Lepisosteus oculatus: one gene and its partners. The protein of the gene in region 2 interacts with the protein of the main gene of each other region in a pairwise test. Links are inferred from orthologs where the notes say so. Each region holds a gene or a part of one and is shown on either strand. Other genes may lie near its edges.

Region 1 (7,872 bases), on a different chromosome or scaffold from region 2:
GTGATACAGGAGGAAGGCGTGGGGAGAGAGGGGACAGGGGGGAAAAAGCAAGATGGCGGCAAAGACGCGTTTTCAATTGAGCCAGGAGAGTGCTGCCCTGCGCGTCCTCGCTCGTTACTTCTCCTCATCGATTTCTGAACATGAAAACAAAAATGTGCCTTCCTTACCTGTTTTCTCTTTAATTTCGCAGAGGACGCTGAAGAGCGCAGGTTTCATCCTGTGGCAGTTCAATCCGTGTTTCCTATTACAGTATACGGCAAGAAAAAGAAAACATGATATACAACACTGCAAAACAACTTTAAAAACACAATACTGTGCACATCTCCTCATTTCCTACCCGCCCGCTTTAATCATCCCGTCTAGCGAGCATTAAATGAATATTCCATTTATTTATTTGTAATAATAATAATATTGCCTATCCCTGATCAAATGAACTCTTTTCGGCAGGTGACGGGCCACAAAATTCAGATTCTCGACATGAGCGTTAAATTCTGCTGCAAACAGTAATTTCCAAAGAACCTAAAATAATTGATCAGATCCTCAGATCCTAGTTTATTACAGCGTTGTTGTTTTACAGTGAGGCTGTAGCTCAGTGGGAAAGAGGTGACAATCGGGGGTAAAACACAGGTTACACAAAACCACACGCTGAGCAATTGAACTTGAGCTTGAACAAGTTCTTATTTAGCAGTTTGAAACGTTGTATTTTTTTTTTTCAGTAAATAGAAATTATTCAGCCTGTTTTTAGAATGATTTCTATACTTTCGGACCAGGCGTCTCCGGGTCTTTAACAGGTAACAGTCTGTAAAATGCTGGGCTACAAATGTATCTTGCACGCTTGCTTGTTTTTACACTGTGCACACACATGTACATAAACATCAGCACCAGGGCACTTTGCAACAATATTTCTACAATTCCTCTGCTTTTCAAGATTTTAAAGACACTACTCCCCGCCCCATAAATAAGGACTTCTCCGTGAATTTAAAAATAAAGAGATAAAGAGAAAATCCCGATTATTATTTTTTTACTACGATGACAGCCGGGTGTACATCCGAGAAGCAAGAAAGATACTTTGCCTCCCGAGAGTTAAAGAGAAATGGCACAAGCACTACAATATAACTTATCTACATTTGCCCCCTTGTCCCGCTATATTTAAAAATATATATATACCACACAGCCAATAAATATGACCATTGTGATCCATGCGATTCTAATTTTAGTAGCGACAGCATAACCACTAGACTGGCTCTAAAGGTTCATAATAGGTTAGCAACCATACATGCAACAAATCTGAGGTAATTTTAGAAAAGGAACCAACTTTGCTTGCGCCTCGTCCAGACTTTGGTCAGTAATGGTCATTATTTGGTGCAGAATGTCCCCGATGTCTTGTTTCCTGCCGTCCCCGTCCGTCCCTTCGTGTCCGTGCGGGGGAGGCAGGGACATCCCTCCCTGCACCGAGTGGCCAGCCAGACTGACACCGCCGAGAGTCTGCATTATCCGGGACTGCTCGTCCATGCTCTGCCGCAGCACAATCAATGCGTTTCTCCGGGAGAGACAACGCTCGGAGCCAGCAAGGAAAATAAAAAAGGGGGGATTTGCGGGACAAAATCACATACAAGGAGGAATTCGGTGGGCGCGCGGGAAAGAAAGAGAGGCTGAGAGGAGGGGAAACGGATCAAAAAATTAAAAGAAGCAAAACTAAGAATCTCTATTTGTATAGCAGTAATTGTACCGGCAGCAATCGCGTGTCCAGAAATCACTTTTTTCGCGTTTGTGGGGTTTTTTTCTCCCTCGATCCGAAGTAGCTTTAGAATTGCAGGATCAATTTTATGCTGGTAGTTGCATTGAGGCACCGATATCAATTCTGTACTTCAGTTATTGATACTTCGGCAATCGGATGACAGCTCGCGTGTCTTGACCGTCTTCAGACCTTCTCGCCGGGTTTTGCGTGCGATTTGGCGTCTCGTGCTATAGCTCCCTGCACATTGTTTTCATGTGTTTGTAGAGTCTTCTTTCGGCTTGTTCTCCCCGTGCAAATCTTCTTGCAAACTTGCCAGAATCCCCATTAAACCAGCAGGGAACCCCCCCAAAAAGACCTTTCCAAAGCTAAAGTTGCACGCACAAAAAAAAAAAGAAAAAAATGAAATAAAAATTAAAAAGCACAGCAAAACATGCTCTACCTGTCTACAGCGTGCGTCTTGCTATGTAACAAAGGGTAAAAATACCCAACACATAAGTAAAATCAAATTTGAGAAAAAAAAATATAGATATTTTAAATGCCCAGGACCAGCGGCGGCGACAGTAAGAATGATGGTGATGATGACAACAATTAAAAAATAAAAACACAAAAAAAAAGTTTTGGAGCTTCTTTGAGGGGGGCGAAAAATAACAGAGGCCCCAAAAAAAAAAAGAGAGAATCGCCAGAAAAAAAATAATAAATTAATTACACGCTGTAAAGCAATGCGCAAAAAGATCTGGCTGTTGAAATTTATGAGCCCGGATCCCTGACTCTGTGTGCTTTATGGTGTTTGATGGCCGCACTAGTGAGCGATTGACAAGGTGCCAATGTCACTCACTCAGTGCAGACGTGTCAGACCGCGCGCAGAGAGGCAGCATCCCAATGAGAGCGCGCGGCCCGCCCACGAGAGGAGGGGTCTGAGTCCGTGGCGCCGCCGCGCGCAGAGACCCCGGCGAAACACACCGCTCGAGCCACGCTAATGGCCACAGTGATGATGATGGTAATAATAATCACGACACGCAGGGAACGCGTTAAATAAAGGACGCGTCCTCCTCCACACCCCCCTCTCCCTCTCCCTCTCTCTTTTTTTTTTTGGTTTTTGTTCTCCTGGCTGCACTGGAAGGCGCTATATATGCAAAAAAAAATGCCCCGTCGGCTGACAGCTCTCACCAGCGCTGGACGGGCGCGCTGTGCACTAAAACAAACACAGCCAAGGCAGGAGGAGGAGGAGGAAAAAAAAGTCCACACACTTCAAGCCCCGAGTTTTATATGGTTTGATACAGAAGTGATAATGAATTGCTCGGGCTCTCCGCTTTTCAAGACCGCGGCTCTGCCTCCCCTCGCCCAGTGCTGCTCGGAAGGTGGGCGGGCGGGGGGCCATGTTCTCGTATCGCGAAGAGCCGCCGTCCAATCCCCGCCTCGGTCGGGGCCTGACTGACAGCGGCGCCGGCCAATAGGCGGGGAGCTCTGGCAGGCTCCAGCCCGCCCCCAGGGTCCGCCACCTCCAGCATGGCCGTGCAAGGCAGCCGGCAACTTCTGATTGGCCGTTGCCACGGGTGACATCAACCGCACGCGCAGGCGGCGCTGCCCTGTCCCTTGCTACAGTTGCTATGGCAGCAGACGAGCAGAAAGGAGCGGGGATGCGAGGATGTGCGCATGGTAGCACCACGAGCAGGCGTGCTCGCGCGGGGCTCTGCTCGTGGGGTTTTTCCTCAGTAAAGGTGACATGTTCTCCAAACCCTGACCTGACCGCTCGGTAAAGTCATCCCTCCGGACACTCAGAGTAGACACTGAAATGGCATTTTTTTTTTATTCTTTTCCTTTTTCAAATAGATTTTATTCTCTGAAAGCTACACACTTTTCTTCTAACGCCCCCAGACAAACTCGCCGAGGTATTTTCAAGAAGAATTCACTGTCGCCCGACGGAGAGAAAGTACGTGGTAAATGTGTGTGATGTATTTATGCATTAGTCCACTTGCACTGTTAAACTGAAAACGAGTTATTCTTTGTAACTTTTAAGGGTTATTGTTATCACCGAATATCCCATCGTTTATTCCTGCAATCAGACCTTAAATAGAAAAAATACTAATGAATTATTATCATTAATGCAAATAAGCAAAAACTAATGTTGAGAATTCAGGAAAGATTATATTTGAAGGATTCCTGTTCCCTGATTTCAACAAACCGTCTTAGAAATTCAATCGGATTTTTTGTTGTTATCACAACACGTTCTTCCTAAAATATATTTTAACAGTCCAACCAGGCTAGTGCACCAGCTCCCTGTTTCTGTACAATTTTAGGCTGTACGTTAAATATTTGTTCACATTTAGGTTTTTTTTTTTAACTGTGTTTTACGTGTGACTCACTACAGCCGACAAGAGGTACAGAAGTGAAGTTCTGAAGTTAATTTAGCGCTTGTTGGTCATCCAGCGTTTTATAGTTTTGTGCAGAGCTGCCAGAAACACACGAAAGTACAAACACACGCGTGTGTTATTTTTGCAAAGTTGGCAGGCGGTGGGGTTACACGATGTTCCGCTTACTGGAATAAACGTTAATATTTTGCACATTGCTAGTTTTTATTTATTCTTACTTTTGAAATACCGTTAGGGAACAATTGCATTACAAATAAGTCCTGTAAGTGTCTAAAATCAAATTTTACGAATAAAATAAATGCTTGATTTGGAAAATTAAAATAAAAAACATACAAGTACGCCCCAAAAATAGCGCATTCGGATAACTGGATAATTTTGCAAAATGGGATATATGTTATTTCTGACAGTTATATAATATAGCCCATTTATCGACTGTGCAATAAGCCGGACGTTTCTGCTCCGGGGTGCAGCTGACTGCCGCCTCGAGCTGGGGCGTTCCGCGTGTCTGCCTGCACGGGGCTGTGGACCAGTACCGGCTGCCCGCCGCGCGCGGGGAGGACCCGGACCGCGAGCCGCGGTTTGAACTTGACCTCGGGAGCGGAGGGAGCGCGCCGCTCGCCAGAGGCGTCAATAAACACGGCTCGCGGGTGGGCGCCTCGTTCAAGTTGTAGACGTGAAACCGCATCGGTCACCTTTCAAACCCACAGCCGCCGAAGAGCTAGCTAGCTGCCTAAGGGAACCAGACCGACTTTTCAAAATCCAGAGGACCCGCAGGGATCTTTGTGTGCTTATAGGCGACGGCCACAAGCCAGGACAGTATGTATTAGCCGCCGTCCGCAGCGCAGACACAGCAAGGCCACACGTGTCTTCCACCGATTTTACACACGTTTTCCATCGAGATTACCGGTAAAAACAAAACATTCTGAGCTATTGATTTTGAAAACCGTTGCCACGAGAGTGGGAGAGACAATTGTCATTTTTGTGTTTGTTTCACTTGACGCTCAATTTCTTTCTTGGAGAGTGCGTTGAATAATTTGTCCCATATAGTCCAGGAAACCTATGATTATTATAAGTCTGCCCAGCTTGTATTCACCAATGCAATTCCCGGTTCCGAAGCGCAGAGCCTAATTCCAGTGCTCTATCATCACTATACATGCTTGAACAGTCAGACGCGTTCAGATCCCCCGCAGAAATCCTAACTTACTGCAGAGTGCAGAGTAAGACACAGTGCGGGCTTGAAACCCGCGGCCGCTCGGCCCAGGTCACAGCCCGACCTATCTGCTCCACTACAGAATGGCCCTTAATTATTTAATTGGGAATGAGCAGGATCAATATGACAATTAAGGAGCTGGCGGTATTACAGCACGGCGATGGAGCGGCCGGGAAGCCGAGCAGCCCTGCCACAGTCTGTCCCCGTGCCGGCGGAAGAAAGCAGGGCTCTTTTTTTTTTTGATGATGATGGTGGGAGTAATTATCTAAAATTAGAGAGAGAGGAGGAAATAAAGCTGTTAATTGGAATGCACTTTGAAAGTCAATCAGACATAGTTCTGCAAATGCGCGAACACAAGACGGTACACTGAGAATTAGCAAACGCTGCGCCGATTCACAGACCGCGGTGCATGAATTGATTCCAAAGCCCTGCAGGCTGCCTATCCTGACACATTGTTACAAGGGGAATTAACATTTGATAATTAAATAGCAAATAATCAGATATGCATGGAGTAAAACTTCCTTTGGGAAAATCCTGTTGTTGGGGATAGAGGAACGCCACATTTTTTCCCCCTCTTCCTCGTAAGAAAACGCAACACTCCCACCAGACGACGTGCAAGTGTTTCAAAGCTGCGAAACGCGGTGAGGTGAATGATGTTTTCATTTGGTCAGGATTTTGGAGAGGGGTCCACATTTTCATGTTTTAATCTCTGAATTCCCAGGTTTGCTGAAACACGGAAGGTGAAAGGGGTGAACTCTCCTGACGTCGAGGACAGCAACAGTAATGCTTGTCGTTTGCATTTCAGAGACGAGAGACTTTTCTCTCCGGCCACAGCAGACAAGGGGGGGCATCTCCGAACTCTGCAGGAGCTGCGCGGCTCCAGTATTTTGCTTAAATACTCCAATTCCGGACGCCACTGAGGAGATCCTGCTGAAGGAAAGGATTCCTGTCTTTTCTGCCATTTTTTTTTCTAGAGGTCAAAAAACTCCTTGTTCTGTCGTAGTGGCGTTTGATTTACATGAGTCTTTATATACAATGCATGGATAGGCCCCTGAAACACTTTGCAATCAACCACATCACAAGATTTATAGAGGCCAGTATGCTTAAAATATTAGGAATTTATATTGATTCAACTGTTTAAGTCATTGATTAAATGCTGTGGCATGATGTTTCGACCATATATTAGTCATTTTGTGTGTTTACAGTGTAACTGTGGCCTGAGAAAGAATAATGCATTTGCCTTTCTGTGTATTTGTCACATCTCACGGACAGGGACAATGCAGGGGCCAGATTTTATTGCTGCATCAAAGCAAGTTTATATTTTATCACCCCCTCCACCACACACACACACTTCCAGCTCAGGACAATTGTGTGTTGTTTGTTTCTTAATTGATTGACGGTGTTACTAATTTAGTAACATGTTTCAAAGCAAGCGGAGTAAAACAATTTAAAATTTCAGAGCTAAGGTATGGGGGCGAGCAGCACTGGGGAAAAGCAAAGCCACTTAATATTGCATTCAGCGCCTTATACTTTTAATGAGGCTGGCAACCGAGATTACCAGAGGAATTAAAAAAAAAGACGCTGCACTAGTTTCACTGGTGATTTAAGAATGCTGCATTTCACAGTGAAAAATAAAAAGCAACACATGAAAATACATTTAAAAATATATGTATAACGAGGAAGAAATTTCAGATCAAAGGAAGCCACTGTACAGTACAGGCACTGACAAAGAAACAAAGCAGTGCGATCAATTCCTTTTAATGCAATTTCATGACACTTAATATGGAGTTCTTACTGTATAGATAAATTGGTTATGTCCACGGTTGTGCAGTATTTCTATTAGGCTTTATTCTGCCTAAATTAAATTTCCCGGTTGGGCTCTTTAATTGAGCCCTGTTCCCTAATGACAGAAGAGTGAGGACTTTAGAAGGAAAAAAAAAAGATTTGCTGATAGAAGAGCCTTTGATTTTTCCTGGTGTTTGTAAAAAGCATGTCATTTTAAATCCGTCCCCAAGCTGTTCATCCAGAAAAACGGCCTTAAACCAGCAACTCAGAAGAATTTGATTTCGGCAGTGGCCTCTCCTTTTTTCCACAGTTATGGTTAAACCCTCAGCAGTGCACGGTTCTGATCGGTGTGAGGGGGTGTAAGCTAATCACTAAGGTACACTGGTACCCTGGGCAACTCATCATGTGTCTTCTTCCCCAAATATTTTACCTTATTAGCTTCTAATCCTTGCACAAGATCGTTTATTTTTAGATGCTCATAATCCTCAGGGTGAACAAATTGTTAAGGCATCATGAATGCCCTGTGCTATGAAGCTCAAAGCGTACACAGTGCAGAACTTAGTCATGTGAAGTTGATCTCTGTTGCCAGAAGACACTTGGCGCTTAGTGTTTGCTGAACAAAACATAGGATGTCAATACATAAAATGCTCCAAAGTGCATTAACTGGTATAAAGCGTTGTACATTTTTTAAATTAAATTGCTTCCTCCTTTGTGCACATTTCAGAATCTTTATCAGGAGAGAGCAATTTAAGCAATCCATCATCACTCTC
Region 2 (7,893 bases):
TATGCATGTATATTTTTAGAAAACCCAAATATATAGATTTTGGATCAACCTATCGAATGCCACACCTAGTGAAAATCAAGACAAAGAAATACAGGAATTAACGCAACTTGCTTGTCAAGAGAACCACACTGTCTTGCCATCAATAGGCTGGAGGCTGGTTGAAGCCACTTCAGTTGTACTTGCCAATAAAGTCCTCTATAGAGATCAGTCAAGATTTCATGTTGGCCACCCTGACTGACGTCAGGTAGTCTGGCTCAGACATGCAGTATGATCCTCTAACTGTTCAGTGCTCAGACCAAGGAAAGAGGAGGCCCAGGTGTGATGTTCTGGGTTGGTGTGCCTAGTTGCTGCAGAACTTCTCTCGCAGTGATTGCTGCTAATCTGGCTGCACGGCGCCACATTGATTGACTTGAGACCTGAGACTCACTCACTTCCATTCCGGCGAGTTCACCCTGAAGTGACAACATTCCAGCAGGACAGCACCTGCCCCTCATGCTGCCCCTGTAACAGTGCCCTTTTGTGATTAGAGAATGTTACAGTTACATCGTAGAAGCCAGACGTGAGCCCCTTTGACCATTTGTGGGATGAGTTGGGATGAAATGTGGCGTTTTAGCGCTCATAAACCAATGGACAAGCCTGTGCTTGTCCAGGCTCCATGTGGGGAATGGGACAGAAATCTTTAACCTAGTGCAAAGCTTTCATCACAAATGCACATTGCTTCCAATTATGGTACCAGTCTACTACCCTGTAACTTTTGCAGTAGACAAACTGTTGATCACCCCTGATGGTGACAAAGATTATTGAATCTACAGCACATACTGTATATCATGTCCATACAGCAAAATGTCAAACCATCTGCTACAAAAAATGTTGTTTGTTTATTAAGAATCTAGTGCATTTGCTGCATTTATAAATGAAAATGCTGTTTTGATACTCAGTACATATGGATGTGTAACTTTTTTCTGGAAAAACTTGTATAGTTTTCCCAAATTTAAATTTAAAGTGACATCCATTGCACTGTTTAATCTTCAAAGTCAACATTAATAATTTTGTTATAATATATTCCACCCATTTCAGTCTTCAGGGTCTCAATCATTTCAGTGCTTCACGTGTGCAACAGATAGCCCCTGGAGACTTCATACTGTGTCCTGGGGATCCAGCTGAAGCTCTGGCCTTTGTGAAAGAGCCCCTCACCTTCACCTCCTCGGCAGCGTTCGCTATCTGAATGACTCGGTGGTCCTTGTGTGGTCCGAACAGCTTGTAGAAAGCTCGGATGGGGGTCTGGCAGTCAGTACAGAAGACATCAGGAGGCTCATTCTCACTGCTCTCAGCCGACACCTGCTCCTCCTCCAAGGCCCTGTCTTCTCGGCTCTCCTCAGAGCACTTCCACTCCCTCAGTCTGGCTCCCGCTGACTGCTCGGGACCGCCGCGATGCGTCCCTTCCTCCTCGGCCTCCTCCTCTTTCCACTGCTGCTGTGCACCGGCCCATGTGAGTGGTGGGCTCTTGGCTTCGTCCGACGCAGGAACGCAGGTGTCGAAGCACAACGAGTCGTTTGTCTCCACTGAGAAACGCTGGTCAGCTGTCCGAAAACGTCCCATTTCCTCTTGCGAATCCGGCCTTTTGAAATCAGTGCTGCCGGACTCTGCCACCTCTCTCTTGGTGGGTGCCGGTGGATTTTCTGTGATGAAGACGTAAGGCTCTTGGGTAGGGAGTCCCATGTCCCCCTCCTCCTTGTCGTCCCACACCCCGTACTGCCTGGCCATCTCGGTCACCTCTGCAGTGTACAGGTCATACTCTTCTTCTTCTGTTCTCTGTGGGCTCTCCAGGGGCTCCTGCACAGACTGGCTGTCAGCCATCGTGCTCACAGGCACTTCCTCTACAAAGATGTCCAGCCTTTCTCTGGACTCGTAGAGGTCCATGTTATAAAAACTTATGCCTTCAGGTTCGTCACTTGGGGTATCCTTTAGCACTGGGGTATCCACACAGGCCTTGCTCAGAGTCCCCTCTCCCCCACTGAAAATGTACTGCTTAGTGGCCTCGTCCATTGCTCCAGATGAAGAGGACCAGCTATTGTGTCTTTGGCTTTGCTCGGAAGATGATAGGTTAAGAGCCGTAGTACTCAAAATCCTGAAGAGTATCCTAAATGGAAAATAAGAATAAATAGATGTGTGATATTTGTCTTCCCTGAAGAATGAGGAACGAGGAATACAGACAACTAACTTACACATTAACATTCAGGAACTCACATGAAATGCCTTATGGCGGTCAGTGTCAAATAAAACTCTTTTTAATATTATCATACCGTATATTCCAAATGACTTTTGAAAACAGATAAGACAGTGGAAATACTCAAGGTGAAACTGATGATCACATGAATGTCAGCACATACTGTAGGAAAGGCTGTTGCTAATTTCTAAAACAGTTTCTTTGCCTTTGTAGTGAAACACTGATGAAATTTTAGTCTTTGATTGATGAGGGAGGCAATGCACGAACATGATAGATGTGTACCAATGGGAACAGGAGTATGAGAGTCATACGAGATTTTAACCGCAGATGAATCACCGGATTGCCAGAGAAAACCCATGTCATCCGACAGTTTAGTGTAATTTTTCGTATTGATCAACTGAAGGACTTTTCTCAGTCAGTTTAGCTGAACATCAGATACCGAGTCTGTGATTTCAGGGACCTTGTGCAGGCACGTTAAAGCAACAGGCACCAAAACGAATACTGCGCAGTAGCTTCGTGTATGCTGATAGCAGTATTTGTAGCAGTCAAAGAATGATGCACTATGGCTTATGTAAATTGTTCACAAATAACAAATCATAGAATATTGCATACCCTTTCAATGTGAAAACCGCATTGCTTCTGTATTCTCGAAATAACATTTAAATTGATCTCAACTTGTGCAAGCAACGCATGTTAATTTTAAGATATAAAAATGTAGGAAGAATAGTTCCCAGGGATGCAAGGTCATTTTACCTGTTCAAGTATTTTTCACGGTTTCCCCAGATTTGCCGCAAGAGTTTCAGCAGGCGCTCATGGACGTGGCTGTGCAGTAAATTCAGTCGGGATTTCAGCAGTAAATAGCCCCCGATACAAAAATAGAAGGGCACTGCTCGGTGTCACAGCCCACCCTATCCCTGTGTAAGAGCCAGCTTCTCACATGTCACTGGGGATCGGGTCACCTCTTTACAGATCCGCCGGCCACCCGTGGAAGCAGTCTGAACGTTTCCTCTGAATCTGCGACTGGGCAGTAAAGCTTAACGTTTGCTCTAAAATACTTCGATCTAACGAGTGTGGTTGATGTGAACTCTGATTCTAGAGCTCATTCATGTTAAAACAGAAGTCAGACATTCTAATGCATTTTCATTGAGACTTATATTTACAATTATTTAAAGGCATTCGCCTTGTCCATACGGGGACATGGGTGTGCAGTGGTTAGGAATCCTTATTTACAGAGTGAATCATTAACATAAATCACGTTATTCAAGTGCATATGTAAAATGTATGAAATTATTTAGATTCCAAACCAAACATTTTTTTTTCTCTCAAATCACTTCATTAAAACACGCTACATGTTTTTTCAGCTATAGTTTAACGAATAGACGCTTACCGTATAGACTAACTGTATAGATGTTGTAACGTGGGGAAAACGTGCGGTTGCAAAGATATACTGTAAAAAGCAATTTTTCAACCCAGCTCTTGCAGTGTATAAAATTGAGTCTCGTTGTATCTGTTCCGACAGCGGTTACCAGGAATACACTGACATGCAGTTATGGTTTTAATATTTCATAATTAATTGTTAACTTTTTTTGTTTAGAATGGTGAGGTTTTATTAAGAATGATTTAAAAAAAGATATTATAACCACTGCTTTGAAAACTACGGTATATGGCATCACAAAGATAAGGGAAGATATAAAAATAAAAATACTTATATTTAGACTAAAGGCATTTCTGGTGAGTATATGCAATGCTACTTCGAAAACGCATAAAGCTCAACTTTAAATGAAGCCCTCTCAGATGAAGAGCAAGCTTTCATCCATGCGCCATTTCTGAGCACGTGACGGGTGAGTCAGGTGTTCAAAGATGACAACTGGGCAATGACGTAGTACAAATGGCGGAACGCGTAAACAACAGCGCTAGGTCTCCGGAAAAAGACTTCTCTGGGCCAAATGCAGCGTCTCGATGAGCTGGAAGATCATGGACTACGAACGTTTGGACAGCCTGGACGGCTGGGTAGCCATCAAGAGCAACGTCTTTGAAGAAAACGAGACTTTTAAGCTGGGCTTCATCGTCCAGTGGAATGTAATCGAGTGCAAGTTCGCCGTCACCTGTCACAACCGGACCCTGCAGAGGCAGAGGCGCAGGGAAGAGCAGGCTCCGGCGGACACGCAGACCAGCTGGGCCGGCCTCTTTTCGGTCAGCGATCTTAGAAATGTCCATCGGCAGCTGACGGGGGTCAGCGACGTGCTGGGGGCCTTTTTCCCCGACTTGTCGGCCTTTGAGGTGGGGAATCTATGGGACCTTCTGTTCCTGGGCAGGCCGTCTGGCTTGGAGGAGCCCGACATGGACCTGGACTGGCCCTGCCGCCAGCTGGAGAGATACTTCAGCACCGCCGTCGACATCTGCGGCCGCACGATCGTGCTGGACTGCCTGTTCGCGCAGGACTGCCGGGACGTTGAGGAGTACTTCGAAAACCTCCACGAGTTTAAAAAGAAGAGCATGGAGGACCAGGTGGTCAGGGCGCGAGAGCAGCTTAGAAAGGTGAGTCTCGTCGATGCTTTGTCAGCCTGCTGTGTGTCCCACTTCTGTCTTCCGTCCCCCGAGCTGTCCGTCCCAAGGCAACATCTCTTTTAGCGTTTTGTCTACTGCTGCTGGAATATGACATTTCAAATTGATAATAGAACTAAACAAACTAATATCTAGTGAGGTCTGGGTACAAAAAGTGACAGAGTGAAGAAGATGACAGTCAACAGTCAGTTGGCTGTGGAGCGGTACAGGTTTCCCTCCTGTCTTTCAGAACCTCCCAACACAAAACCAGGCTACAGTTTTTGAAAGCCTTTAAGTGTTTGTGCTTGTCTTGTGATATACAGTACAGTTTGGATCTTTTGACGAAGTTAGCATTGCAGTGACAGAAGCTGGTGCGCTGGTTCATATAGAAACTGAAAGGGAAAACGTGTTGTGCCTGAAGTGATTCAAGAAGCAAACTTTCCCTTTGCACAATCCTTTAGAGTGAATCACATTCCTGCTGCAGTAGGTCTTTGACATTTTCTATTGCAAATGAAGACAATCATCCTCCAAATGTTTTCCTATATGGCACTGCTTTTCATGTCTGGAATAAAGTTGATGTAGTCAGTCTCTCAGATTAGGAAAGACCCTCTGGCTTTTTCATTTTCAGTGCTGCTCTAGGGGTGCTGTATAAATGGCTGACCCTGCGCTCTGACCCCAAGCTTCTCTCCCTGCCTGTTTGTCTCATGGAGAGCAAGCTGGGGTATGCGAAAAGGCAAATTCCTAATGTAAGAAATTGTTTATGGAAATAAAGTGATCTTATCTTATCAATAATCATTTGAAGATTAGATACTGAAGCTTTGGTCTCAGGAAGTCAATATATCCTAGTGACCACTCTCACTACCTCACCTGTTCCTGGTGCTGCTTCATTTAAGCTCATTATTTGACCCATGCAAGATTGCAGGGTGCTTACTTACTTTTGGAAATGTGGTGCTGATAAGACTGTGAAAGTGGTGTACATACCTGTGTATCAAGGGCAGAGAAGAACCATGGGCCTGAAATTGGTTTCAGGGCAGTCTTGTGCCATTCCAGGTGGTAATGTAGCCTGTAAGCCTACAGTTATTCACTCTGCATGTGCCATGTTCCCACCTGCTCCCTTTTTCTTACACTAGTCAAGCAGGGGAGATTGGATTTGCTCTTTCTTGAAAAGTTGAATTCTGGGATCTGTATGATAGAAGGCAAGGATCACCAGCCTTTGTTCTGAAGAGCCTCAGTCCAGTTAGTTTTACTTGGAAAGACCAGAAAGTTTGATCAGATAAATGATCTGTCCAATTAAAAGAATATAGAACTTTGTGGGGCTGATGTGTACGAAGATCATGGGCCCATGTGATCTCTAAATGACCATTTATAAAAATTGCTTCTTAATTGATCACAGCAAAATTATTCTAAGCCTTTTAAATCAGAAAATACTAATTTAAAAAACCTCTATGTACTGGGGTTGGAGAGTTGGTATTAGGAATATAATATTGTAAGTAACATTTGCAGTGTTTCACAAAGAGTGCATAGCATTATATAATTGAATAAGACTTCTCTCTTGATGCAGTGTTGGATATATAAGGAACCTAAACTTGTTTGTGTAACTTGAACAAGAACAGGAATTACTGTTTAAGGCTGGAACTCAACATAGCAGAAGGACATAATTCCTTAATTGCACTGTTCTTGCAGAAATCTGTAGTTACGTCTTTGGTTCCTTGTTATTGCTTTAATTAATTTAGCAATGTTTGTTTATTTATCTGTTTTTACAAATAATAGCCCTTCATAAATGCTCACATGGGCATAAATGAACATTAGTTATGTAGACCAGGGGTCTCCAACCTTTTTACTAGAGAGCCCCATTCCAGTTAATCTTATAGGCCACAATAATCACCCTTTTTAGCAAAACAATGAACACACTTTATTTCAGTTACTTAAGTTACTGTTTAGTTAAGCATATATCAATTGTTCAAATAAGGGAACTGTGGTCCTTTATAGCTCAAGAGTATGCAGATTTTTGTTCCAAATGATCTCTGAAGTACTCAATCTAACAAATCACTTGATTAATTGACCCAGGTCCTGAGATACTGGATCCCCAGGGCCAGAGTTGGTGAAGCCTGATGTAGACTGGCAGATATTCAAGCATCCAGTATTGTAATTGTAAGAAAGCAACCAAAGCCCATGGTGATTAGATTGGTCACAAGATCTACAAGTAGCAGTTAAATGAATCCAGTTATAAAAAAAATAAATATTTTCTTTCAGATACTCCAACAACACAAAGCTGCGGACAAGATGGTTCTCCTGTTAAAGATTTATGAAGAAGAGGATGAGGCTTACAAGGAATTAGTTACCGTGGCAACACAGTTGTATCAGTACCTGCTCCAGCCCTTCCGTGACATGAGGGAGCTGGCTATGTTGTGTAAAATGGAGATAATGGTACGGTCATGCTTAAATCTCGTTAAAGACCAGCAGAATTGTATTAGTGTAGCAGAATTTAAAACCTCGGTGGAGGTTTATGTGCTTAATTATTTGATGTATGTGCTACATAATGTCTCTTTTACCTTAAAAACTGATCTTAACTGTAGCTGCTCCACTAGGTGTCAATGTAAAATAGGATGAATGATAGATTAGAAGAAACCTGTCTTTTCTGAATTATGTATTTATGTGATTGGTATTTACATTATTTGTACTGTAGATCTCAGACCAAAAAAGCTGAATTTAGTAATGGGTTCAAATGTCCACGCTTATCTTCAAGGCCTTGAGATATTAAATTTGTATGTTAATTTATAATCCAACAGAAAAAGATGTGTATTACAAGTGCTTTAAATATTAAAACAGTAGTAGTCCTCTATGTGGAAAGAATGTGAATTAAAGAGAATAAGGCTACTGTAATCTCTTGATGCAATCATGTGCTTCAGTGAATACCAGGTCATCCTGACAGAGAAGACATATCGAGCATACAAGAGAGACTGACATCGCTGTCAGCCTCCAGTTAATGGCGTGTTTCTGTGCCACATAAACACATTGGTGAAAAGAATTAAATCTAAATATTTTACTTAACAGATGTTTTCTGACAGGCCAGTGGAGTTTGAGCTTTGCTTAACTTGAGTTCATTATTAATGCTGTCACAT
Region 3 (7,997 bases), on a different chromosome or scaffold from region 2:
CCTCTCGTCTTCACCCAGGAGCCCTGCTCTGTGGCTGCAGGGGGGCGTTACTGGACTCCCTCCTCACAGGGGGCCCAGATCCCCGTCCCTGCGCCGCGGCCGCCGAGCCAGCTGGGGACAGTACTGGCTGTTGTAGGGTCTGTCCCTCTCGTCCGGCTCCTGCGCCGCTGACCGCTCCCCCTCGGCCCGGCTCGCCAGCAGGGCCCGAGCCCGGCGCCTCTCCTCCGCCTCCCTCCGCACGCGCTCCTCCCGCAGCCTGTCCAGAGAGCTGAGGGACACAGCGGTCAGCACACTGGACATTTCTCAGACCAGTTATCACATTACTGCAACAAAACACATCCATTGGCGTTACAGAAAAAATAGTCCTGTTGCCTCGTTCGGAGTCTCAGAACGTGGCGCTGGGCTGGGCTGGACTGGGAATCGGGTCTGCTGTGTGATGGCAAGGAGAGGTTGTACACCTCACTGTGTCCACCTGACTCTCACTCCGGTGGGAGCTGCCGATTCTAACCTGACGCATAAGCCCTTACCTCTGCCCGCCCTCCTCCTGCTCTCGCTCCCTCTTCCTGCTCCTCTTCCTCTCCACCCGCCTGCTCTTCGTCTGCAGGGCTCGGTCCACGTCTCTCAGGGGGTCCAGCGCCGCCTTCAGCCTCCGGTCCTTCTTCTCTCGCTCCCCCTCCCCCCGGCCCGCCCCCAGCTCCTCCCCCGGCTCCGCCCCCACCCGCCTCTCCAGGTACCAGGGCGTGGCCTCGCTGCCGGGGGCGGGGCCCAGCGACACCAGCAGGCCAATGGCGCGCTCCTGGCGCTCCTGCGGGAAGACGGACAGGTTGGCGGCCGGGACAGAGGCGGGGCGCTCGGACCGGGCCGACGGAGCCGCGGCGCCGGACACACCTTCTCCTCCCTCTTCTCCCGCAGGTACTCCTCGTTCCCTCGCTTCTCCGCCCCCTCCTCCGGGGGGAAGAGGTCGAGGTGCCCCACCAGCGGCGCCTGTCCTTCGTGCCCCTCCTCGCCCTGGGGCAGCGCAGCTCGAGACTTCCTCCTCAGGAGCTCCGTCCGGGCCTGAGAGACACAGAGCTGTCAGCAGGGGGCGCCACCAGCAGGCCCCCCGACTATACTGGGGGACAGGACAGTTCGGACCACGAGACGCTGCACTGGGTTGTATGTGTCCCCACTGTCTGTGTGGGTCTCACCCCCAAGACAAAGACACCCGGGTTAAACTGGTTTCTAGGAAGACTGTCCCCAGTGCGAGCTGGGGTGAGTGTGTGTGTCAGTACGAGAGAGTGTGCGCATGCGTGTGCCTGCCCCATGATGATACCCCGCCTGGCTCCCGCTGCATGCTGGGACGGGCCGGCCCCTACAGCGAGGGGCGGCTGTTGTCATGGTTACCTCCTGCTCCGCGCGCTCGACCCTGCGGCGCAGCTCCTGCTCCTCCTCGGCGGCGCGCGCCTCGTCCCGCCGCACGCGGGCCACGTTGTCCTTGTTGCGCACGTGCCAGCTCTTCTTGGGCAGAATATTCATGATTCCGCGACTTTTAATCTCCTTCACAAGCAGAACCAGCTGCGGCAGCGTCCGCCGCAGCACTCGGGTGCACACGAGCCCCTTCCAGCTCATTCACGGAGAACACGAACACGAGGGTTTACCCACCTGCCAACAGCATGGGGAAATCGCAATACAAAAACATTTCTGCAGACAACACTGAACTCGAAACAGAAACAAACCGGTGATTTAATAGCAGGAGAGTGGCTAGGAACCTTTCACGGAGCCCCAGCGAACGGCTGGATCGCCGCAACGTCAGACCACAGCTCTCACAGCCCCAACGCAATCTGAGCGCAATAAAAGGTTTTCTCACACACTTCCCTGCTCCCTCACGAGTCCGCGAGTCCCGGCCGCTCGTAAGTCTCACGGAATGAGCTCAAAACACTTGATACAAATTCATATCAGCCGCTCACCGAGGGAATCCTCCATGTTGTAAACACAGGAGCGGTGACGCAGTGTCCGCCGAAACCACAGGCACTTCCTGTCGTATCAGGCGCTGCAATTGGTCCACACCTCTTCGTCCCGCCTTCGCTTCTCTTCCTTCCGATTGGTTCAGGTTGACGTCAATCACTCGTCGCCAGTGGAGACGCCGTCGGTCTGTAGCGCGGGTCCGCCTATTTCCTTGGTGCACACGAAATCTTTCTTTTTACCCTAACCAACGTCTTAAAGTGATCTAATCACATATTTAAAACATGGGATACACTCCTACCGAACAAACCTCGGCAGTGCCAAGGGTCTTCTAGTCGGGAAAGACGCAAAGCGTTTAAAGAACGTGGGTTTCCTCTAGGCGGCATTTCCGTGTTTTTTGTGCCGCGGGGCTTCGATTGGATGACATTATGTCAAGAGCACCGCCTCCCCTCCCCGGTTCTGTCCTGTGATTGGTTGTCTTCTCCGTCACGCAGCGCTCAGTTCCGCGCCTCTCCCCTTAGCCCCACCTTCCGCCTTTCCCGATTGGTCTACGACAACCGCGCTCGCCTCCCGATTGGCCAGGCCTGTCCGGCGGCAACACCCCGCCCCCCCTTGACCCCGCCCCCCGTCGGGTTCCGCTTTGCAATTGGAGCCGCCGCCGACACCGCTGCAAGGTGCGTATATCTCACTTTCAAAGTTTCTCTCAATAAAACAAGGCAAAACACACTCAACAGCGCAGCTACATATCGCTTTGTGCGCTTGCAGCTACAGATCCGCGTAGAAGCGGCTGTGTGGTTTTCGCTCAGCTCAGGTGATGGATTAGGCGCCGCTGTGCATCGGAAAACCACGGTTTTACAGGAAACCGGCGATTCGTGCAGATCGGAGAATATTTCGGGAGTAAGGCACTGCGATTCAAAATCGAAATCAAACCGATCGCGGGGATTTTAAACGCCCCGGAGATGTTAATTATTTTATTCAGGAGTGATGTTTTAAAAGCATATTTACGGATTTCCGCTTTTATTTTCCCGATCAGAAACTCTTTCCTACCTGCACTTGAAAGCCAAACTGCGCTCAAAACGCTCCGCCAGAACTTCTGTATTCTGTACGTTTTTTTAATGCATACAGTGTATACGTATTTTGTATTTTTCTAAACAGATACAAAAAAAGCTTGCATTTCCAACATCTAGTAAATGATACAAACGCAGCGCTCGACTTGGCCTCGACTGGAACATGTCTTGTTTTAGCTGCTCAGCTCTGCGCCAGTGAAAGGCTGCGCTGCTCGGAGCCGCGCCGACCCGGGGGCTCCGCCTCTCTCGGTTTCGACCGCCTCCAGCTGGAAAAATAAAACCCAGTAAAAGTCGGTAACGTTGCACACATTGAGCCCCAAACCCGATTTGCGCTGAATCCAGAGCCCAAACCGCGAACGGCGAGATGAGATTTTTTATTATTATTATGAATCCTTACCGCTCTGTCATGTTATCCCTGGGGAGCTCACCATAAAAATAATAATAATTATAATAATAATTATTATTATTCATTTAATTATAGCCACACGCCAAACAAAACCCAGGTTACAGCTCTAAACCGTTTTAATCTCCTGAAGAATCTTTTAGAAACACACGCCATCCACCGTCGTTAAACACGCTGTCAAAGCCCGGAGATCCAGCCTGGGCTGGTCACTCTGCTCACTGGTCACTCCGGTCACTGGTCACTCCGGTCACTGGTCACTCTGCGGCGCCTTCAGACGGCCCAGCGTGCACTGCTCCGGGGCCGCCCAGCTCGGCGATCTGTCTGACCAGGAACTGCTTGTCCTTCCCCTCCTGGTGAGACAGGACCCCTCAGCAGCCGGGACCCCCAAACACCCCCAGCAGTGGGGTAACACTGGGGTGCGGCGGGGGTCTCGCTGGGCTGCGCAGCATCGACACCCACAGGGTCAGAGGTCAGAGCGCAGCTCAGGGCATGCGCATGGGGGTTTGGGGGTACTGGGGTGTTTGTGTACCGAGCGCTGCTGCTCTGCTTGCTCACTCCTGGAGTCGGGGATACAGCAGCGTCGGCAAGCTGGGTCGGAGGTCAGAGGTCAGCAGCAGCCCCTGACACGCCCCTCCTCCGGACTGGTTCACACTTACCAGCTGCATCTGAGCGCGGAGCAGAGAGACACTCTGTCCGTAGACTGAGGCCAGAGCCGCCACATAGCACAGCGCCACACTGAGAGAGAGAGAGACAGGTCAAACAGCACACTGAGAGAGAGACAGGTCACCCAGCGCCACACTGAGAGAGAGAGATAGAGAGAGAGAGAGAGAGACACAGGTCACACAGCACACTGAGAGAGAGAGAGAGACAGGTCACACAGCGCCACACTGAGAGAGAGTGAGACAGGTCACACAGCGCCACACTGAGAGAGAGAGACAGGTCACACAGCGCCACACTGAGAGAGAGAGAGAGAGACAGGTCACACAGCACACTGAAAGAGAGAGACAGGTCACACAGCACACTGAGAGAGAGAGACAGGTCACACAGCACAACACTGAGAGAGAGAGACAGGTCACACAGCACACTGAGAGAGAGAGACAGGTCACACAGCACACTGAGAGAGAGAGACAGGTCACACAGCACACTGAGAGAGGGAGACAGGTCACACAGCACTGATTCACAGCACACTGAGAGAGAGACAGGTCACACAGCACACTGAGAGAGGGAGACAGGTCACACAGCACTGATTCACAGCACACTGAGAGAGAGACAGGTCACACAGCACACTGAGAGAGAGAGAGACAGGTCACATAGCACACAGAGAGAGAGAGACAGATAGAGACAGGTTACACAGCACTGATCCACAGCACACTGAGAGAGAGAGAGACAGGACAGACAGTCTCAGATGGACACGTGAACAGGCGTCTCACCAGAGAACGACGAAGAGAGGCACAGCGAACGCCTGAGAGCCCAGGAACCGCAGGAAATCTTGTGCAGACGGAGGAAGAGAGGCGTTCGACACAGAGACCACCGCCCACATCTGAGGGAGAGAGCGGAAAGGACCACAGGCCCAGGAGGGGTGGATCCTGCCAGAGGGGAAGAGACAACTGACCGACTGGACACTACAGCACAGAGACACTGACTGACTGACTGGACACTACAGCACAGAGACCCTGACTGACTGGACACTACAGCACAGAGACACTGACTGACTGACTGGACACTACAGCACAGTGACACTGACTGACTGGACACTACAGCACAGTGACCCTGACTGACTGACTGGACACTACAGCACAGAGACACTGACTGACTGACTGGACACTACAGCACAGTGACCCTGACTGACTGACTGGACACTACAGCACAGTGACCCTGACTGACTGGACACTACAGCACAGTGACCCTGACTGACTGACTGGGCACCACAGCACAGAGACACTGACTGACTGTTTCATTATTATTACTCATGTTTCTGTTTTGCTGGTGGTGCGTTACAAAGCTCTGCTGTCCTCCTGGGTCTCTCAGCACGATGTACCCAGACTGTCACGAAGCACTATGGGAAGTTAAGTTATTCATAGTGTGGGATGACCCTGGAACACGAGGCGCAGTCCAGTCCAGGAACTACAGTTCCCATGAGGCCCTGCAGTGGGAGGCTCAGCCACTGGTCAGGTGCCCAGAGGGTTATGGGGGATGGAGCCAGATAGAGGCTGGAGACTGGAGCCCGGGGACTACAGCCCCCATAGTGCTCTGCAGAGTGTGCTGTGTTTTGCTGGCTGGGTGTTTGGCCCTGAAGGGACCTGGGTGTTGTAGTTTCAGCCCTTGGACGGGGGTCACTCACGCGGCCAGGCCAAACACCAGGGGCACGCAGGCCAGCACCAGTCCCAGCAGCAGCACCAGCAGGAAGAAGAGGTTGGAGCTGGAGGAGCGGAAAGTCCGAGAGGCTGGACGACAGTTCTGGAACAGAGTGACCTGACAGAGAGACAGAGACTGACTGACTGGACACTACAGCACAGTGACCCTGACTGACCGACTGGACACTACAGCACAGTGACACTGACTGGACACTACAGCACAGAGACACTGACTGACTGACTGGACACTACAGCACAGAGACACTGACTGACTGAACACTATAGTACAGTACTGTCTCTGTGTCTCAGTACAGACCTGGTACAGCACGTATCTCCGTGTCTCAGTACAGACCCAGTAGAACAGTCTGTTACAGTAGGAGCTACAGTTCAAGTACAGTAGAACAGTCTGTTACAATAGGAGCTACAGTCCCAGTGGAGTAGAACAGTCTGTTACAATAGGAGCTACAGTCCCAGTACAGTAGAACAGTCTGTTACAATAAGAGCTGTTACACAGCTCAGTCCCAGTGAAGAAGAGATGATGAACAGCTCTACCTTCTTGCAGTAGAAGAAAATGACGAATTTGACAGTGTTGATGAGTGGCAGCAGGGGGCAGAAGAGAGCACCCGCCCACACCACTGTCTGCCCGTACACCAGGCTGAGGACATTCTGGGGCACCACAAACTCCTGACGTCCCAGCCACTGAGCAAGCTTGCAAGAGCAGTGATCCACAATCATCCTGAAGAGGCAGAGAGATTGCGACACCATAGAGACACTCTTCACACACAGTGATTAATACAGACACTAATACAGACCCCAGAGACACTCCTCACACACAGAGATTAATACAGACCCAAGAGACACTCCTCACACACAGAGATTAATACAGACCCTAATACAGACCCCAGAGACACTCCTCACACACAGAGATTAATACAGACCCTAATACAGACCCCAGAGACACTCCTCACACACAGAGATTAATACAGACCCCAGAGACACTCATCACACACAGAGATTAATACAGACCCCAGAGACACTCCTCACACACAGAGATTAATACAGACCCTCATACAGACCTCAGAGTCACTTCTCACACAGAGATTTTAATACAGACCCTCATACAGACCTCAGAGTCACTTCTCACACAGAGATTTTAATACAGACCCTAATACAGACCTCAGAGTCACTTCTCACACACAGAAATTAATACAGACCCCAGATACACTCCTCACACAGTGATGAATTAATACCCCAGAGACACTCCTCACACACCGAGATTAATACAGACCCCAGAGACACTCCTCACACACAGAGATTAATAAAGCCCCAGAGACACTCCTCACACACAGAGATGAATTAATACCCCAGAGACACTCCTTACACACATAGATTAATACAGACCCTAATACAGACCCCAGAGACACTCCTCACACACAGAGATTAATTCAGACCCTTATACAGACCCCAGAGAAACTCCTCACACACAGAGATTAATACAAACCCCAGAGACACTTCTCACACAAAGAGATTAATACAGACCCCAGAAGCACTCCTTAAACAGAGAGATTGATACAGACCCCAGAGACACTCCTCACACACAGGGATAAATACAGACCCTAATACAGATCTCAGAGTCACTCCTCACACACAGATTAATACAGAGCCCAGAGACACACCTCACACACAGATATTAATACAGACCCTCATACAGACCCCAGAGACATTCCTCACACAGAGATTAATACAGACCCCAGAGACACTCCTCACACACAGAGATTAATACAGACCCCAGAGACACTCCTCACACACAGATATTAATACAGACCCTCATACAGACCCCAGAGACACTCATCACACAGAGATTTTAATACAGACCCTAATACAGACCTCAGAGTCACTTCTCACACACAGAGATTAATACAGACCCCAGAGACACTCCTCACACAGAGAGATGAATTAATACCCTAGAGACACTCCTCACACACAGAGATTAATACAGACCCCAGAGACACTCCTCACACACAGAGAGTAATAAAGCCCCAGAGACACTCCTCACACACAGAGATGAATTAATACCCCAGAGACACTCCTCACACACAGAGATTAATACAGACCCCAGAGACACTCCTCACACACAGAGATTAATACAGACCCTTATACAGACCCCAGAGACACTCCTCACACACCGAGATTAATACAGACCCTCATACAGACCCCAGAGACACTCCTCAC
Region 4 (7,755 bases), on a different chromosome or scaffold from region 2:
ATGTCTGTAACATGTCTGTAGATTTTATTTTACTTCTATTTTTTGTTTTGTTCCATGTTAATTTTATTATTTTTATTTGCTTTGGCAACACTGATTGTACCCATCGGTCATGCTAATAAAGCACCTTGAATTGAATTGAAAAATTGAGTGTGTGTCTCTCGCCCCTCACCCCTGAGAGAGTGTCTCCCCCTCACCCCTGAGAGAGTGTGTGTCTCTCGCCCCTCACTCCTGAGAGAGTGTCTCCCCCTCACCCCTGAGAGAGTGTGTCTCTCATTTCTCACCCCTGAGAGTGTCTCTCGCCCCTCACCCCTGAGAGAGTGTCTCCCCCTCACCCCTGAGAGAGTGTGTGTCTCTCGCCCCTCACTCCTGAGATTGAGGACATGGCGAAAACAAATGGTATTGTACCAAGTTTCCGGAGCTCCTAAATTAATTGGAAATCTCCGCACACCAAGGGTCTTTCCTGGGTAAATCTGATGAACAGTTCTATACATCTCCCTCACCTAGCTCGAGCCAGGATCTGCGCGGGCGGGCGCAGGCTGTGAGGGAACAAGTCCAGGTGTGTTCCTGCTGAGAAGAGAAGAAACACAGCTGGTTATACAGCATTCATCCCTATTTTATTCCAGTGGAATTGGATCCGAAACGAGTTGTCCAAACTAGTTTAACTGACAAGATATTGCTGTATTCGTTATGAACTATTATAAACCTACTGTATGGCTGAATGTGGCCTTTCCTTTCTGCCTGATCCAGGCTGTCAGTCCTCCATGGTTTCTGATGGACCACTGTCACAGTTTCTGGAAGGAGGCAGCGCCCTTCTTCGGATCTGCAGCACGGGCGTCAACTTTCAATCTAGTATTGATGAACTGTAGCAGGACATTATTATCTGTTCACAGTCGGTGTGATTAGACATTGCCCCATCAGCACCAGGTCAGTGTTTTACCCAGATGACACCACCTTCAGCCCCGTTTTCAGAGCACAAGTCCCCTCTTTCTGATGCTCCGGTGGTATACCGACGGGAGGGGTCGCCTACGGAAGCACATTGCCCCACATCGGAATTATGTCAGTGAAAATACCCCCTACTTCTTGAGAAACGAGCAGATATACACCACCAGCTTAGATTATTTTATGAATAATTCTGTAATCATTTTATTTTGGAATGTGTGTTAAATGTTCAAAAGTCTATTTAAGCCCCGTTCTGCCTGTGTTTCACAAATATTTTAATCCTCCAAATATTTTCCGAAAGACTTGACAGTACATCCAAGACAAGAGAGGCATAGAGTAACCTAGAGAGACCGCCAGCTGTAGATAGGATTATAGGAGCTCCTATAGACAGGAACAGGTGTGGGGCTCCTATAGACAGGAACAGGTGTGGGGCTCCTATAGACAGGAACAGGTGTGGGGCTCCTATAGACAGGAACAGGTGTGGAGCTCCTATAGACAGGGAGGGGTATGGTGCTCCTATAGACAGGGAGGGGTATGGTGCTCCTATAGACAGGAACAGGTGTGGAGCTCCTATAGACAGGAACAGGTGTGGGGCTCCTATAGACAGGAACAGGTATGGTGCTCCTATAGACAGGAACAGCTGTGGAGCTCCTATAGACAGGAGCAGGTGTGGGGCTCCTATAGACAGGAACAGGTGTGGGGCTCCTATAGACAGGAACAGGTGTGGGGCTCCTATAGACAGGGAGGGGTATGGTGCTCCTATAGACAGGAACAGGTATGGTGCTCCTATAGACAGGAACAGGTGTGGGGCTCCTATAGACAGGAACAGGTGTGGAGCTCCTGTAGACAGGGAGGGGTATGGCGCTCCTATAGACAGGAACAGGTGTGGAGCTCCTATAGACAGGAACAGGTGTGGGGCTCCTATAGACAGGGAGGGGTTTGGAGCTCCTATAGACAGGAACAGGTGTGGAGCTCCTATAGACAGGAACAGGTGTGGGGCTCCTGTAGACAGGGAGGGGTATGGTGCTCCTATAAACAGGGAGGGGTATGGCGCTCCTATAGACAGGAACAGGTGTGGAGCTCCTATAGACAGGAACAGGTGTGGGGCTCCTATAGACAGGAACAGATGTGGAGCTCCTATAGACAGGAACAGGTGTGGAGCTCCTATAGACAGGAACAGGTGTGGTGCTCCTATAGACAGGAACAGGTGTGGAGCTCCTATAGACAGGGAGGGGTATGGTGCTCCTATAGACAGGAACAGGTGTGGAGCTCCTATAGACTGGAACAGGTGTGGAGCTCCTGTAGACAGGGAGGGGTATGGTGCTCCTATAGACAGGGAGGGGTATGGTGCTCCTATAGACAGGAACAGCTGTGGAGCTCCTATAGACAGGAACAGGTGTGGGGCTCCTATAGACAGGAACAGGTGTGGGGCTCCTATAGACAGGAACAGGTATGGTGCTCCTATAGACAGGAACAGGTGTGGAGCTCCTATAGACAGGAACAGGTGTGGTGCTCCTATAGACAGGGAGGGGTATGGCGCTCCTGTAGACAGGGAAGGGTATGGCGCTCCTATAGACAGGAACAGGTGTGGTGCTCCTATAGACAGGGAGGGGTATGGCGCTCCTATAGACAGGAACAGGTGTGGTGCTCCTATAGACAGGAACAGGTATGGCGCTCCTATAGACAGGAACAGGTGTGGGGCTCCTGTAGACAGGGAGGGGTTTGGAGCTCCTATAGACAGGGAGGGGTATGGCGCTCCTATAGACAGGAACAGCTGTGGTGCTCCTATAGACAGGAACAGGTGTGGGGCTCCTATAGACAGGAACAGGTATGGTGCTCCTATAGACAGGGAGGGGTATGGTGCTCCTATAGACAGGAACAGGTGTGGGCTCCTGTAGACAGGGAGGGGTATGGTGCTCCTATAGACAGGAACAGGTGTGGAGCTCCTATAGACAGGAACAGGTGTGGGCTCCTGTAGACAGGGAGGGGTATGGTGCTCCTATAGACAGGAACAGGTGTGGAGCTCCTATAGACAGGAACAGGTGTGGTGCTCCTATAGACAGGAACAGGTGTGGGGCTCCTATAGACAGGGAGGGGTATGGTGCTCCTATAGACAGGAACAGGTATGGTGCTCCTATAGACAGGGAGGGGTATGGTGCTCCTATAGACAGGAACAGGTGTGGAGCTCCTATAGACAGGAACAGGTGTGGTGCTCCTATAGACAGGAACAGGTGTGGGGCTCCTATAGACAAGAACAGGTGTGGAGCTCCTATAGACAGGAACAGGTGTGGTGCTCCTATAGACAGGGAGGGGTATGGTGCTCCTATAGACAGGAACAGGTGTGGGGCTCCTATAGACAGGAACAGGTGTGGAGCTCCTATAGACAGGAACAGGTGTGGGGCTCCTATAGACAGGGAGGGGTATGGTGCTCCTATAGACAGGGAGGGGTTTGGAGCTCCTATAGACAGGAACAGGTGTGGTGCTCCTATAGACAGGAACAGGTGTGGCGCTCCTATAGACAGGAACAGGTGTGGGGCTCCTATAGACAGGGAGGGGTATGGTGCTCCTATAGACAGGAACAGGTGTGGGGCTCCTATAGACAGGGAGGGGTATGGTGCTCCTATAGACAGGGAGGGGTTTGGTGCTCCTATAGACAGGAACAGGTGTGGAGCTCCTATAGACAGGAACAGGTGTGGGGCTCCTATAGACAGGGAGGGGTATGGTGCTCCTATAGACAGGAACAGGTGTGGCGCTCCTATAGACAGGAACAGGTGTGGGGCTCCTATAGACAGGAACAGGTGTGGTGCTCCTATAGACAGGAACAGGTGTGGAGCTCCTGTAGACAGGAACAGGTGTGGGGCTCCTATAGACAGGAACAGGTGTGGGGCTCCTATAGACAGGGAGGGGTATGGTGCTCCTATAGACAGGGAGGGGTTTGGAGCTCCTATAGACAGGAACAGGTGTGGTGCTCCTATAGACAGGAACAGGTGTGGCGCTCCTATTGACAGGAACAGGTGTGGGGCTCCTATAGACAGGGAGGGGTATGGTGCTCCTATAGACAGGAACAGGTGTGGAGCTCCTATAGACAGGAACAGGTGTGGAGCTCCTATAGACAGGAACAGGTGTGGGGCTCCTATAGACAGGGAGGGGTGTGGTGCTCCTATAGACAGGGAGGGGTTTGGAGCTCCTGTAGACTGATTCAGGCTCCATATCTTCTGATATAAAACACAACCACCCTGACTCTCGGGCTCTGTGTTGTACAGGGATGGGCGAGTTGATCCCAGACGTGCTCAGTGGGGTGTGTGTGTGTGTGACTGGTCAGGCCCTGACTCTCTCAGGCTCTGTGTTGTACAGGGATGGGTGAGTTGATCCCAGACGTGCTCAGTGGGTGTGTGTGTGTGTGACTGGTCAGGCCCTGACTCTCTCAGGCTCTGTGTTGTACAGGGATGGGTGAGTTGATCCCAGACGTGCTCAGTGGGGTGTGTGTGTGTGTGACTGGTCAGGCCCTGACTCTCTCAGGCTCTGTGTTGTACAGGGATGGGCGAGTTGATCCCAGACGTGCTCAGTGGAGTTGGTGTGTTTAACAAGTCTCACTAGCTTTTTGACTGTCTGTCTGTCTCTCTCTCTCCTCTCTCCCTCCTCTCTCTCCTCTCTCTCTCCTCCCTCTCTCTCACTTCCTCTCTGTCAGTTAAGGCTGCGGTGAGTCTCAGCTCTTCCTCACTCCACTCTCTCGCGCTGAGACGCCGGTCCGCCGCCTGACAGACCCGACTCGACCCGACCCGACCCGGCCTGCTCGTCCTCTCGCTGACCTGGTAAGGACTGTCCAGCGCCTCTGCGTCCGGCGGGGGGGGGAGGGAGGTGGACAGGCTGGCAGAGAGAGGAGGCCAGCGGAGGTTTCTGTGTGAACTCCTCCAGCGTTGTACAAAGGCTGATTGTTGTTGCTAATTGCTGCTAATTGGGTAGCAGAGGCAGCGAGTGTGTGGAGAGAGGGAGAGAGCTCGTGTGGTGTGTGTTTCAGGGACAGGCTCTGTATCACAGCAGACTGGAGTCCCTTCTGCTTCAACTGGGCCTGTTAGAAACACCCACTGTCATCACAGTCCACTGCGCTAACACTGTGTTACAACAGACCAGTTCTGTTATACCAGGAGCTGCAGTAAGAGTACAGTACAGCAGTGTTAGTACATCTCTACTACTGTCTCTCTTACAGCACTGATCTCTATTACTGTCCTACACAGAGACACAGCTCTTTTACAGCACTGATCTCTATTACTGTCCCACACAGAGACACAGCTCTCCTACAGCACTGATCTCTATTACTGTCCCACACAGAGACACAGCTCTTTTACAGCACTGATCTCTATTACTGTCCCACACAGAGACACAGCTCTTTTACAGCACTGATCTCTGTTATTGTCACACAGAGACACAACTCTCTTACAGCACTGATCTCTATTACTGTCCCAAAGAGACACAGCTCTTTTACAGCACTGATCTCTATTACTGTCCCACACAGAGACACAGCTCTTTTACAGCACTGATCTCTATTACTGTCAGACAGAGACACAGCTCTTTTACAGCACTGATCTCTATTACTGTCCCACACAGAGACACAGCTCTTTTACAGCACTGATCTCTATTACTGTCAGACAGAGACACAGCTCTTTTACAGCACTGATCTCTATTACTGTCCCACACAGAGATACAGTTCTTTTACAGCACTGATCTCTATTACTGTCCCACACAGAGACACAGCTCTCTTACAGCACTGATCTCTATTACTGTCCCACAGAGACACAGCTCTCTTACAGCACTGATCTCTATTACTGTCACACAGAGACACAGTTCTTTTACAGCACTGATCTCTATTACTGTCCCACACAGAGACACAGCTCTCTTACAGCACTGATCTCTATTACTGTCCCACACAGAGACACTGCTCTCTTACAGCCCTGATCTCTATTACTGTCCCACACAGAGACACAGCTCTCTTACAGCACTGATCTCAATTACTGTCACACAGAGACACAGCTCTCTTACAGCACTGATCTCTATTACTGTCCCACACAGAGACACAGCTCTTTTACAGCACTGATCTCTATTACTGTCACACAGAGACACAGCTCTTTTACAGCACTGATCTCTATTACTGTCGCACAGAGACACAGCTCTTTTACAGCACTGATCTCTATTACTGTCCCACACAGAGACACAGCTCTCTTACAGCACTGATCTCTATTACTGTCCCACACAGAGACACAGCTCTCTTACAGCACTGATCTCTATTACTGTCCCACAGAGACACAGCTCTTTTGTGCACTGATGTGACCCAGAGAGATGAGACAGAAGTGGCAGAGATGAGAGAGTGCATTCTGCAGAAGAGGGAGAGAGCAGTTAGACCACATCCTCTCTCTATCACACCAACTCCTCACTGTCTCTGTCACACAGACTACTGATCTCTCTGTTTAATGCACAGCTTTCTCCCAGGATCACTGCTGTCTCTCAGGGTCACACTGGATCCATTTCCCAGGGTCAGAGTGGAGCACTGCTCTCTCTCGGTTTCAGAATGGACCACTGCTCTCTCCCAGCGTCAGACTAGATCACTGTTCTCTCTCGGGGTCACACTGGATCACTGCGCTTTCCCAGAGTCAGAGTGGATCAGTGTCCTCTCTCAGGGTCAGACTAGATCACTGCTGTCTCTCAGGGTCACACTGGATCACTGCTCTCTCCCAGGGTCAGAGTGGATCACTGTCCTCTCCCAGGGTCAGACTATACCACTGCTGTCTCTCAGGGTCAAACTGGATCACTGCTCTCTCCCAGGGTTAGAGTGGATCACTGTCCTCTCCCAGGGTCAGACTAGATAACAGTCAGGTCCAGTCCTGTAGTCACAGGAGGACAGCTGGGCCAGTGGCTCAGGTCTGGTCCTGTTGGACCAGGAGGACCGCTGGTCCAGTCCTGTGGAGTGTGATGAGTGTTCAGTGCTGGCTCAGGTGTCTGTGTCTCTCAGGGTGATGTCAGTGCAGAAATGGGGAACCTGCACACAGCTCCGAGCGGGGGGGCAGGGGGCGGGGCAGGGGCAGAGGGCAGGAGCCAGTTTGTGCCCTTATAAGTCGCTGATGTGAGTCTGTGGTTTCTGTTTTGCTGTTTTTAAAAGCAGGTCGAGTTTCAAAACTCTCTGTTTCCACTTCCTTCCTCTGATGCCTGTGTGTGCAAGAGAGCAGCACGTCGAGACTAGAGAGCAGGGTAGAAACACAGTACAGCGCAGTAAAGCCCAGTGAGAGCAGGGTAGAAACACAGCACAGCGCAGTAAAGCCCAGTGAGATCGGGGTAGAAACACAGCACAGCGCAGTAAAGCCCAGTGAGATCGGGGTAGAAACACAGTACAGCGCAGTAAAGCCCAGTGAGATCGGGTTGAAACACAGTACGGCGCAGTAAAGCCCAGTGAGATCGGGGTAGAAACACAGTACAGCGCAGTAAAGCCCAGTGAGAGCAGGGTAGAAACACAGTACAGCGCAGTAAAGCCCAGTGAGAGCAGGGTAGAAACACAGTACAGCGCAGTAAAGCCCAGTGAGATCGGGTTGAAACACAGTACAGCGCAGTAAAGCCCAGTGAGAGCAGGGTAGAAACACAGTACAGCGCAGTAAAGCCCAGTGAGATCGGGGTAGAAACACAGTACAGCGCAGTAAAGCCCAGTGAGATCGGGGTAGAAACACAGTACAGCGCAGTAAAGCCCAGTGAGAGCAGGGTAGAAACACAGTACAGCGCAGTAAAGCCCAGTGAGATCGGGTTGAAACACAGTACAGCGCAGTAAAGCCCAGT

What was found.
Region 1: the proteins of fibronectin type III and SPRY domain-containing protein 2 (region 2) and pbx3b interact in a two-hybrid assay, tested with the Homo sapiens proteins (3 studies listed by BioGRID and IntAct). The two-hybrid records come from large-scale screens. The link is inferred for Lepisosteus oculatus from reciprocal best matches to the Homo sapiens genes FSD2 and PBX3.
Region 3: the proteins of fibronectin type III and SPRY domain-containing protein 2 (region 2) and leng1 interact in binary tests that used the Homo sapiens proteins (3 or more experiments, as listed by UniProt). The two-hybrid records come from large-scale screens. The link is inferred for Lepisosteus oculatus from reciprocal best matches to the Homo sapiens genes FSD2 and LENG1.
Region 4: the proteins of fibronectin type III and SPRY domain-containing protein 2 (region 2) and coro1a interact in binary tests that used the Homo sapiens proteins (3 or more experiments, as listed by UniProt). The two-hybrid records come from large-scale screens. The link is inferred for Lepisosteus oculatus from reciprocal best matches to the Homo sapiens genes FSD2 and CORO1A.

Annotation. Positions count from the first base shown.
Region 1 is NC_090719.1:1,104,468-1,112,339, forward strand, and holds the start of pbx3b (pre-B-cell leukemia transcription factor 3b), read right to left. Parts: upstream 3,259-7,872; 5' UTR 1,513-3,258; coding exon 1,316-1,512; intron 242-1,315; coding exon 168-241; intron 1-167. UniProt on the Homo sapiens protein: Transcriptional activator that binds the sequence 5'-ATCAATCAA-3'.
Region 2 is NC_090700.1:43,292,932-43,300,824, reverse strand, and holds the start of fibronectin type III and SPRY domain-containing protein 2, read right to left. Parts: upstream 3,091-7,893; 5' UTR 2,981-3,090; intron 2,141-2,980; 5' UTR 2,047-2,140; coding exon 1,195-2,046; intron 1-1,194. Other genes in the region: WASP homolog-associated protein with actin, membranes and microtubules, read left to right, coding at 4,187-4,765, 7,025-7,198.
Region 3 is NC_090718.1:656,648-664,644, reverse strand, and holds the start of leng1 (leukocyte receptor cluster member 1), read right to left. Parts: upstream 3,077-7,997; 5' UTR 2,989-3,076; intron 2,965-2,988; exon of another isoform or gene 1,947-2,964; intron 1,642-1,946; 5' UTR 1,609-1,641; coding exon 1,384-1,608; intron 1,057-1,383; coding exon 889-1,056; intron 806-888; coding exon 528-805; intron 269-527; coding exon 64-268; 3' UTR 1-63. Other genes in the region: tmc4 (transmembrane channel-like protein 7), read right to left, coding at 3,666-3,761, 4,068-4,146, 4,842-4,997, 5,753-5,883, 6,318-6,501.
Region 4 is NC_090699.1:1,462,064-1,469,818, forward strand, and holds the start of coro1a (coronin-1A), read left to right. Parts: upstream 1-4,624; 5' UTR 4,625-4,751; intron 4,752-7,755. UniProt on the Homo sapiens protein: May be a crucial component of the cytoskeleton of highly motile cells, functioning both in the invagination of large pieces of plasma membrane, as well as in forming protrusions of the plasma membrane involved in cell locomotion.